3 linked regions of the Mus musculus genome follow. Each later gene encodes a partner of the first gene's protein in a complex. Links are inferred from orthologs where the notes say so. Each region holds a gene or a part of one and is shown in the gene's direction. Other genes may lie near its edges.

Region 1 (3,608 bases):
TTGTCATACATAACCTTTATTATGTTGGAATATGTTTCCTCAGTCCTACTTGTTCTAGGGCTTTTATTAAGAATGCATGTTGAATCTTATCAAAGACTTACTTTTTTTTCCCTTCCATTGAGATGATATGATTCTTGTATTTTTGTCCATAAATGCAAAACAAACAAAGAATTGTTTCACACTGTAGTTAAAAATTGGCCTCTTCTGTTATTCATACCTCAGTGGTTGTCAGCCTTCATACTACTGCAACCCTTCAATAGAGTTTTTCATGCTGTGGTGACCTCCAACCACAAAATTATTTTCATTGCTACTTCATAACTGTAATTTTGCTATTGTTAAGAATAGTAATATTAATACCTATCAGGTTATTTGATGGACTTAGGTGACACTGCAAAAGGGTCATGTGATTCCCAAAGGGCTGGTGACCCACAGGTTGAGATACCCTGCCTCTGTAGCAGTAATGCAAGTGAATTGGTGTTTCCTGTCCCTCGAATGCACGTTTGCATTGGGCACCTCTCTGGGATTTAGGGCCATACACTGCACATTCCGAGGATTTGAGATCTGGCAAGTTCTTACTCTTTGGAACTCTCATGTAGGAATCTAACAGTGTTGGAATACATATGTTACCAGGGATACTAATATTTGCAACAGGTCAGTGACAGCATAAAAAAGTAAAGCAGGAAAATGGCTTACAGAGTACTTAGTACACTGAGAACATGACCACTTACAGTAGCATACAGTCAAGGTGTATGCACAGTGTGTGTTTTAAGTCAATGCATATGATAGGGAAATAAGATATGCTCAATATGCAGAGCTAAGACACTTGAGAAGAACCTATTAGGTTAAGGAAAAGAATCAGTGTGCTTTTCATCTTTACCTTTGTGTAGCCCAAAGAAGCAGAAGCTTTCCTTCTGAGTCTTTCAGAAGAAATTCAAAGACGACTTGAAGCTGCTGGCATGAAGGGCAAACGCCTGACTCTGAAAATCATGGTGCGGAAGCCAGGGGCCCCTATAGAAACTGCAAAATTTGGAGGCCATGGAATTTGTGATAACATCGCCAGGTAAACTTATTCTTTAAGAAAGGAATGTTGGTAGTTATATTCTGTGCAGCTTATTATAAGTCATACAACATAATATCAGTAGTAGTAGTTTGAGTTACAACTTACCAATCCTGGTGTTGTTAAGCAGCCTGTAGAGGCAGGCACAGCCCATGGTCACTTGACTTAGGTTTAATACCTATTGCAAAATACTGAATGTCAATGGATAATTTTTAAAGAAAAGATTTATTTAGTTCACAGTTCCTGGTGATGTAAGAGGCTGGTACCCTTCAACTGTCTGCCAGCCAGTGGCATCCCAGTGTCAGGAACATAGATGACAGACACAAGGTGAGGCAAGAAGCTAAACTGCTCTGAACGGACCAGTCTCGCTCCTCCTCCCTTCTGTAAACAAGTGCTCAGGACAGCAATGACCTAGTCAGTTCCTGTCCTTGTCTCTTTAGGCCCAGATCACTGACACCAGCATGACTGTGAACAGATCACATCTAAGTCCCAGCCAGGTGGCAGCCCGAGGCTTCCTCGGGTCTTCAGGCTGTTAACTTGAGTGTGTAGAAAGGAAAAGGGCTGCACATTAGCAAGACAAGGGGACGGGTGTGGTTTGTGAGAGACTGACTGGGATGTTCGTTTCCTGAGTAAATCATTAGAGCAACCAGAATCCTATCTGAAAGCTGTAGAAAACTGTTTTTTAAAACTATGATGTTTGATGGGCACACCACTTAATGTTTGTGACCAACACGAAACCACTTTTTAAAGTGGGTCTTTTGTTCAGCAAATTGTACTCTGACAAGCCAGTGTTAGGATCTTTAACAATCTGTCTATGAGTAAGGGTTATGATGTGAGTATTCAGTAAAGATGAGCTCATGTCAAACATGTTTGTTCTTATAAAGTCTCTAATACAGAAACTTAGTGTGTTATTGAAAGCATTATGTACTGGGGAAACAGGCAAGAAGTAAAACAACACACTTTATGTAGAAATTGAAAGCAACAATAATGGACATTTCTATGTGAACCTGGTTCTTAAGCATAGGTTTGTGGGTCAGGTGGGAGGGAGGCAGAGCTGGCTTTCTACCATGCAGTCTGTTTTAATTCCAACATTGTATATCCATATATACATTTTTTTTACATGCGTTAACTAAAAATTTTCTTGCCTAAATTTGTCAACTTTTGGTTTGCTTCTTCATGGCTTGTTTAAAGCACCAATGTTATGGTTTCTATGCTTGGGGGTGGTGGTCTTCCTGGCTTACTGTAAGGGCAATTATTAATAACTCCTTGCAATGTGTATATGATCTTTTAATGAATATATATGGAATGTGCATTTGTTTGCTTAAGAATGTAATTCTAATACTTACAGGACTGTAACTCTGGACCAGGCAACAGATAGTGCAAAAATAATTGGGAAAGCCACTCTAAACATGTTTCATACAATGAAACTAAATATATCGGATATGAGAGGGGTGAGTATCACACTGGCTCCTTCTTTCTGTATCGTGAAGTCTGGGCTTCCTCTGAGCTCGGTCCTGATGTAGTACCGGCGTATTATGGACACAATTTTAACTTCATCCATGCAGTCCACAGAAGGAAACAGGACTTCTCGTCAAGCCTCCTCATGCTGGTTCTGATAGATTAGATTTGTTACTGTGTAATTCTGTCTTCTGCACAATACTATTTAAATCTTACACGTCCTATTCCCAGCACTTGATGAGCACCCGTATCACTGCGTTCCTGTCCCAGCTCTGTAACTCTACTACTGTAGGGAGACTTTCATCATGCTAAGTAGATAGGTGGACCACTCTGCCATACCCAGCCTGCCAGCTTTAGAGACAAATCCTATTTAAAACCTCATCTGGGGCTGGTGAGACACTTGAGTAGGTACAGGCACTTTGGTTGTCATGGGCCCCCGTGCTTGTACTATACCAGCCTTTCCCCTTTAAATGTAATGAACCCTGTAAAGCACCCAGCACACCTATGGAGTACTGAAATCCACTTGTTTGGGTATTCTGATTTTAAAAGTCTTACTACCCACCACCATGTAAGTAAGTAAGATAAAGCTACTTAACTCACTGAGCCACAAGTTGTTTGAGGGACAACTCATAAGTAAGCTGTTGGTTTGCATTGTTCCAATGGATTCTTTATTCTAGAAACTGGATTGTTGGCAGCACCAACAATAACTGAGAATTTTGTATAGATGAATTCTTACTTTTCACTTTTGTTATTTTAGAAACCTTCTCTTTTATTTTGACTCTAGGTTGGTATTCAAGTGAATCAGTTGGTTCCTGCTAATTCAAATCTTTCCACATGTTCAAGTCGTCCATCAGCTCAGTCAAGCCTCTTCTCTGGTCGGCCACATTCTGTCCGTGATCTCTTCCAACTTCAGAAAGCCAAGAAACCCACAGAAGAGGAACACAAGGAAGGTGGGTGGCCCTCAGTGTGCGGCTGCTTTCTGCTCCACCAAGTCCTCGGGGAGTAAGAAGTTCCATTTTAAATCCACATGGGTCTGTGCCCTTTCATTGCTTTGTTTTAAAAGTAAAATTACATTCTAAATTGTGAATCTAGA
Region 2 (3,608 bases), on another chromosome or scaffold:
AGCCAGGGCTACACAGAGAAACCTTTTCTTGAGAAAACAAAACAAATTCTTGTTTTTAGTTCTTTTTTTAAAGTATTATTTAACAGACAAGATCCTTCCTCATTGACTTAAACATGACATCTTCAGATTGGAAAAATATTATGGAGGACTAAAATTGGTTTGGTTCCAGGGGAGCTAAAGGAGAGGAAAGTTAAGGGTCTCGGGGAGGTTGTAAGTCATCATGTGCATAGGAAACATTCTGCAGCATGTCAAGGCTTTTCACTCATTTTAAAGAATATTTCACATATATTATTGTCAGAAATGGAGTACTTGCCTTTACTAAATAAGAAACGTGTTAAAGTAGGTATAAATTCCTTTTTAAAAAAGTTTGTTGTAAACTTCTCAGTAAGAAGGGAAATAGATTAAAAAGAAAACAAAACAAAAACAAGTGAGAAGAGAAACTAATATGGGAACAGCTGGGGTTTATTTGGGGAAACCTGTGCAGAAGACAGTGGTTTGCTGACTGACCCAGGCAAGGTCAAGAGCTGTGGAGAAAAGACTAGTTGGCTGACACGCTTGAGAGCATGGTAGACATGGTATTTGCCTTTTTGGTTTTCTATTAGCAGGTCCTAATTAGCATCAACAGTCAAGAGTCCACCCCCTCATCTGCCCTTCTAACGTGGTCTCTGAAGTGGGGAAGATGTGAGAGAGCAAGGCGGAAGAATCCGTAAAACTGACAAATAGTGCACGCTTTGTACTTACGTAACTGGTGGTGTATGGAAAGGCAGCCTTAAAAACCTGTGATAGAGTGTGGTGTAGTAGATGTCAGAATGCATGATAGGGCGTAAGCTGTTAACACTCGGGAGGCAGAGGTGCTCTGCTTGGCTAGCCGTGTCAGAGAGACTTGGAGTAGGAGGAATTAGATGGATGGAACCTATATAGCCCTGCCTGGCCTGGAATTCCCTATGTAAGCCAGGCTGGCCTCAGACTCCCTCCCTAGGATTAAAGGGAGGCAGACAGATGGCTGTGATTCAAGTTCCTACCAATTTTAAGCTTACGCTCTAGGAAAGAAATGGCTGGTCCAGATGGGTAGGAGCCGTGACTCCTTTGTTTACTGCTTAGAACACAAGTGGGCACTCAGGAACGTTTTGATTCGTTTTTTTAATCTATTGACTTTTTTTTTTTTTTTTTTTTTTTACTGACTTGCATTTTAAAACTTCACTATGACAGCCTCACAGATAATGATGGTGAAAAGAGAATACAGGTGACCCTTGGACTTGAAATAGTCTAGTATAGCGTGTTGGAGAGCATAGAGTCCAGTCAAGAGTTAGTTGGGAGGGAGGACTGATGAGACTTGGCAACTCATTGCATAAGGAGAAAGGTAATGACTCCTGGATTTCTGGCTAAGGTGGTTTGAACAAATGATGATGTCATCAGGGAAAAAAAACCGAAGCCATGGAGTTGAATAAAATAGACAATGGAGGATACCACGGGGTGACCAACCATATCCCATTTCCCAGGAAACCTATCTGAGTCAGGCAAACTGGGGTGACTGGTCATACTAAAATAGGGTAAGATGGCTAAGGAGAGGAAAGCACAGAAACTGCAGGAAAAATGGAGCAGGTGTAGCAGGGGACTCGGCTGGGTATCGTGGAAGGTAAGCGAGGGAGGGCGTCTGGAGAAGACAGGGTTTCTTAGGCTTACTGGAGTAAGCCTGGTACTTACTGTGTAGACCAGGCTGGACTTGAACTCACAGAAATCCACCTGCCTCTTCCTCTAGGATAATTAAAGGCCTGTACCACCATACCTAGCTATCAGAATTTCTGAGTTTCTGGCTGTTCTCAACTGAAGTGTGATATGTTGTAGAAGCTTGCTAAATATTTCTTGAAATAAAGACAGATGATGTGCATCTTTTTATTGTTAAACTCCATTGAGGGGCATCAACTTCTGGTATTTTGGGTGGTTGGGATAAAAGTGAATAAAGACTTTACTGCAAGCAACACTTCTGCATTTAGTGTGTGGTTAATGAACATTTTAGATGTTGGCTGGTGTAAGCATCTGCTATATTCTACATCATGAAACATCTGACTGTATGTAATTCAGTAGTAACAGGTGAATATATATTTGTCATGATGTATATGATGACTTGAAGTATTTAACATAATGATCTCATAGAATTACTAAAAACCCCAAATCCTTTCCATCTCTAGGAAAGCACATATAGACTATTGATATTTGAGAATAGAGGCTTGCAGACAGTGTATGACTTCGGGTTATAAGAGTTATTCATGTAGTAATGCCACTTGTGCTTTATGCCTGAAGATAGGAAACCAAGAAAAGTTTATTCTGGATGCCATAGCTCGATAATTGACTCACTTTTGTATCTGCAGTTTGGCCATTGCCACTGTTTGACTATGGGTTCTGTCCCTCTTGGCATATTTCTAGATTTACCTCAGTTACTTCCTGGGTGTCTTAGCCAACTCAGATAAGTTGGTTCCAGTCCCATGCTCCATCTAAAGTTTTTTCATTGTTTTTTCAAAAATCTGTTCAGTAAGTAAAAAATTGTGCTGTTGAAGAAACTGTCAGATTTCATATATATGACTTCCAAGTCATGAATCCGGAGTCGATGAGGAAGCTGCATGCTAATGAGTCACTTCTGTCTTGTTTGGCACAGGATGCTCTATGAATATGTTGAAAGGAAACGGAAAGAAAATTCGGGAGCTCAGCTGCATGTTACCTACTTGGTGTCTGGCAGTCTTATACAGAACGGACATTCTGTAAGTTCTCTTGTAACAAGACTTCATGTTCATGAGATAGAAACATTATTAGAAATAACAGGAGGAAGAAGGAAGAGTGAATGGTATGGAAGTTTTAAAGTACCTCTTAAAGAGAGTGAGTGTTCTGAAATTTTAAACTAAATCTGACAAGAAAGGTTATGTAATATCTTGTCTGTGATGAGGAGACTGTCACTCTTAGTTACCTAGGAAATGAGACATTAGGGAATGGCTTTTCCTTGAACCTCTTTTTCCTTTTGAATACGTATTGTAGACACTGGTACTTAATTTTCATCTTCAAATTTCAAGTCAGATTCCAATGTTAAATAAAAAAGGAGGGAAAAAAATTAGGTGATTTGTAACCTGAGTACTCGTTTTGATAGGTCACTTGGAGTGGCCTGTTGTAAGGCCGAGGCTTAGCTGCTGGTACAGACAGGTGTTTAGGCTCCTGCATTCTTTTCTGTTCTTGCCCCTCTGCATGCCCGCCAGCTCAGGGTACTGTTGCTTTTTTCATCTCAACCACAACGCAGTCTCAGTCCCAGTCTCAGCGCTGGTGCTCTTTTGTTGACTTCCATTGTTTCCCTCGCGGTGGGGAACAGGTATTACTGAGCTCTTCCCAGGCCTTAAGCACCAGAAGCTCTGTTGCCTTGGACTGAATCCAGGGCTCGTTCATAGTTCTTGCACACCGGCTTCCTGTGCAGGTCTTCTCCGTCCTCACTTTCCTTGAGCCTGTCTGAAGACACCTCTGTTTCATTGCCATCAGTCCCAGGATCAGGGCTCCTCGTGGAGGTCTACTAAGATGCCTTTTTTACTACCCTTTTGATTTTCCTTCAAAATCATACGTTTATAACCTCA
Region 3 (3,501 bases), on another chromosome or scaffold:
TTACCCTCTTCAACATACATGTGGATATTTGCTTAAATAAAGGTATTATCCAAGAACTGAGAAATAGTGAAGGTAATTCAGTTAAACAACCCAAAGAAAGCTCGAGAAGTACTGGTAAGTGTGTGGTCGTTAAGAGGAATGCGTTGTGGGAGGAAGGGAGACAGGCCAGTGGCTAAGAGCACTTGCAACTCTTGGGTAGGACCTACAGTTGGTCCACAAAATGCATATGGTGGCTCACAACCATATGCTGTAACTCTAGTGCCAGAGAGTTTGATACCCTTCTTTGGCTTCACACACTCACGGTACACAAACATACATGTTGATGAAACATCAATACACTTAAAATTAAATTTAAAAAAATAAGAGGAATGTGATTTTCTAGGGATATGTCTCATTAAAATTACCGAAACTATAAATTTGAAATGTATACTATTAAAAGGATGGCTTGTGTTTGCTCTCATTTAGGAAAATATTAGTTACCTTTACCCTGGCTAGAAATAACTCAAAGTGAGCTTTTGAATTGAAGAGAAAGTCCAGCTTAGTTTTGATTTATTGTAGAATGAAGTTAAAGTTGAAGGATCTGAGTGATCCAGTCAAAAATGAAATTCCCTCAGGGAGCGTCTGCTGGTGTACTGTGACAAACTAGCTTTATTTATAGAGCCAGGAAGTCTTTTACACTTTGTTCTTGGTAATGCTGACTATAGCAAGATTGCAGAAACTAAGTTTAATGCCAGTAGAACTCTACAGTTATAAGAAACAGTACTGTACAAACTGTAAGTATATAGTTATAAAGAAACAATATTGTGAACTTAACTTTGTGGGGCTGGCATTGTGGCTGTGAGGGTACAGGTGCTTGGAGCCAAGCCTTTCAACCTGAGCTGTGTCTCTGGAATATGCAATGGAAGGAAAGAACTGACTTCTGAAAGTTGCTCACTCCATACATGTGTGCACATGTACATATGCACACACATGCACACACACCCCAGTTTAATTAATGTAACAATATTTTTAAAAATTAGCTTGGGATATGTATAATATCTTTACTCTGTTAATTTTATAGCTTTTGTGTCGCTTTTCCTTCATGGCATTTCTTGACTTTTCTTTCCCCTGCAGACAGACTTCAGAAGGCTTCAGGAAGGACCAAAAGGTAGGGTTGGCTTTGAGCTTGAGCAAAGAGAGCTTGTGCCCTGCTCTGAGCTTCAGTGCAGACAGCTTGTGTCCTCTCTGAGTTTCAGGGGCTCACCTCTGCTTTTTTACACTAACCGAGTAACATTTTAAAAGCTGTTTTTGCAGAACTCTTTTTCAAATATTTCCTTCTACATAGCAATTGTGTGCTCTTTCTCATTCCAGGCCAGGAACGAAGACAAAGAGCTCAACTTTGAAGAAAACAAAGCCCCGAGATCCCAGACACACCCTTGATGGATTTTTTAAATGAACTTTGAACATTTTATCAACGTTTATCATTGAAATTATTATTTTCATAGTCAATATATTTATTCTTCCTCATTTTAAATGTATTCCTTTAAGGAAGACAAGTGCAATAATGCCTCCCCTACGTGACCTTTTTAAGAATGTAGACTGAATATTAATTTATTTCATTTATGTTTTCCTTAATAGCCATGAGAATTTCATTCCCAGTATATATATATATATCTTAGTTGGAAATCAGTCGTGTTAGAGACAGTGTAAGAAGTGAGGTCAGAAAGTGATGCGTTATTTTATAATGGATATAAAATATTTCCAAGGACTCTGAGCCACATGGAGCAACCTCACCATCAGCTCCTCCATGCTTAGTCACCATGGTGCCATTGATGCTTCCGTACCTACCTGTGTGCATCTCTGTGTCCTGTGAGCAGATGCAGTTAGAATCGGCCATGATGTCCATGAAGAACATTAGCTTAACATAAAGAGTGTGGGCATGGCTGTTCCCTTCAGGAAGGTGATGCACAGTATTATCTGTGTTCAGAGGACCTGTCCAAACCTGTGATTTGTATTCTTACTTATCTTACATATAAGCACTTGGTTCACATAAATATTTAGTCCATAATTCAAAATCTTTTTTTTAACTCAGTACTTTAAATGGCAGTATTTAATTTCTTAACATTTATATTTGACTACAAATCTGCAGTAAACAAGGTAAGTTGTGTAGTTGCCTGGTTTTCATTCCCCTCTTTAGGAGAAAATAGACACCTCAGAAGATGTGCCCTGAGGAGTCACTGCACTTACCGTAGCTGCTTCTCTGTCGTCTCTGCTAATTGTTGTGGGAGAAAGATTTGCAGCAATTCAGAGGTTGCTGCAGATGTAGTACCACCCACAAGTTCTTACCAAAAAGCCCTTCCTGCTACTACTTTAAGAACTGAATTCTGCTGGGTTGTGGTGGTGCACGCCTTTAATCCCAGCACTGGGAGGCAGAGGCAGAGGCAGGTGGATCTCTGAATTTGAGGACAACCTGGTCTACAGAGTGAGTTCCAGAAAGAACAGCCTGGACCACACAGAGAAACCCTACTTCAAAACACAAAAAAGGAAAAAAAAAACCCTGAATATTTTTTATAGTCTTGCCTTTGCTTATTTTAATGCATTTATTATAGACAGAGAGATATTTGATGGTCCTTAGAACCGACCTTGTATGGCACAGTCTTAACCTGACTTTTAATTGCTAGACTGCTTAAAAAAATGGGCTAAAAGCTCGCTGACACACCAGACCCTTACCTGATATTATACACCACAACAGTTCCAACTCTGTGGTCCTTTGGTTATTGGTTGTGATTTACTTATGTAAACTATTTATAAAATTAAATTCAATGAAACTGATTTAATGTATTGAAAAATAGATATTACTGTATTATTTTCTTCCATCTGAAGTTTATTTTTGTTGTTTTCAACATTAAGTAATAAATTATTTTCATGTAGATGCTACACTTATTGACTGTCATATTTAATAATAATTTAAAATTTTTTAAATTAAGAATTTTTTCACACATACTGTTACATTATTTTCTTCTCTTGCTCTTTCTCTTCCAACTCCTCACATGTCCTCTCAATCCCTCTCAAATCTATGACCTCACTTTAAATATTGCTCTCTGTGTGTGTGTGTGTGTGTGTGTGTGTGTGTGTGTGTATAGCTCATATGTATCTGTATTTAGGGCTGACTAAACCGGATGACTCAACAGGGGGCTTGTCCCTGGAAAAGACTGACTACCCTCCCTCAGCAGGCATTAACGATGTGCAGCTTTTCATCGAGGAGTGGAGCCTTGTGAGAGTCCCCCCTTCTGTGTTGGCATGTTTAACTAGTGTCGTTGTGCAGGTCTTGTTTGACTGACTATACTGCTGAGATTCTGTGGGTATAACTTCCTTGTCACATGCAGAAGACGTCATCTGAGCAGACATCCCAGTCCTCTGGCTCTTACTGTCTTTTTTTTTTTTAACTTTATTTATTTTTATTTATATGAGTGCACTGTAGCTGTCTTCAGACACATCAGAAGAGGGCATCAGATCTCATTA

What was found. The genes of interacting proteins can lie anywhere in the genome.
Region 2: the proteins of Rev1 (region 1) and Pold3 are in contact, whole or in part, in an NMR structure (PDB 2N1G), measured with the Homo sapiens proteins. The link is inferred for Mus musculus from reciprocal best matches to the Homo sapiens genes REV1 and POLD3. Residues at the interface, in NP_057400.1 of Homo sapiens: Asn1158, Leu1159, Ala1160, Gly1161, Leu1171, Leu1172, Glu1174, Trp1175, Ile1179, Met1183, Glu1184, Glu1185, Asp1186, Gln1189, Val1190; in NP_006582.1 of Homo sapiens: Gly232, Asn233, Met234, Met235, Ser236, Asn237, Phe238, Phe239, Gly240, Ala242, Ala243, Met244.
Region 3: the proteins of Rev1 (region 1) and Polk are in contact, whole or in part, in an NMR structure (PDB 2LSI), measured with the Homo sapiens proteins. The link is inferred for Mus musculus from reciprocal best matches to the Homo sapiens genes REV1 and POLK. Residues at the interface, in NP_057400.1 of Homo sapiens: Asn1158, Leu1159, Ala1160, Gly1161, Ala1162, Asp1167, Leu1171, Leu1172, Glu1174, Trp1175, Thr1178, Ile1179, Met1183, Glu1185, Asp1186, Gln1189, Val1190; in NP_001374042.1 of Homo sapiens: Lys564, Lys565, Ser566, Phe567, Phe568, Asp569, Lys571, Arg572, Arg575.

Annotation. Positions count from the first base shown.
Region 1 is NC_000067.6:38,056,574-38,060,181, reverse strand, and holds part of Rev1 (DNA repair protein REV1), read left to right. Parts: intron 1-887; coding exon 888-1,060; intron 1,061-2,405; coding exon 2,406-2,508; intron 2,509-3,299; coding exon 3,300-3,465; intron 3,466-3,608. UniProt on the Homo sapiens protein: Deoxycytidyl transferase involved in DNA repair. Transfers a dCMP residue from dCTP to the 3'-end of a DNA primer in a template-dependent reaction.
Region 2 is NC_000073.6:100,111,418-100,115,025, reverse strand, and holds part of Pold3 (DNA polymerase delta subunit 3), read left to right. Parts: intron 1-2,653; coding exon 2,654-2,756; intron 2,757-3,608. UniProt on the Homo sapiens protein: Accessory component of both the DNA polymerase delta complex and the DNA polymerase zeta complex.
Region 3 is NC_000079.6:96,480,104-96,483,604, reverse strand, and holds the end of Polk (DNA polymerase kappa), read left to right. Parts: coding exon 1-114; intron 115-1,113; coding exon 1,114-1,147; intron 1,148-1,350; coding exon 1,351-1,435; 3' UTR 1,436-2,918; downstream 2,919-3,501. UniProt on the Homo sapiens protein: DNA polymerase specifically involved in DNA repair. Plays an important role in translesion synthesis, where the normal high-fidelity DNA polymerases cannot proceed and DNA synthesis stalls.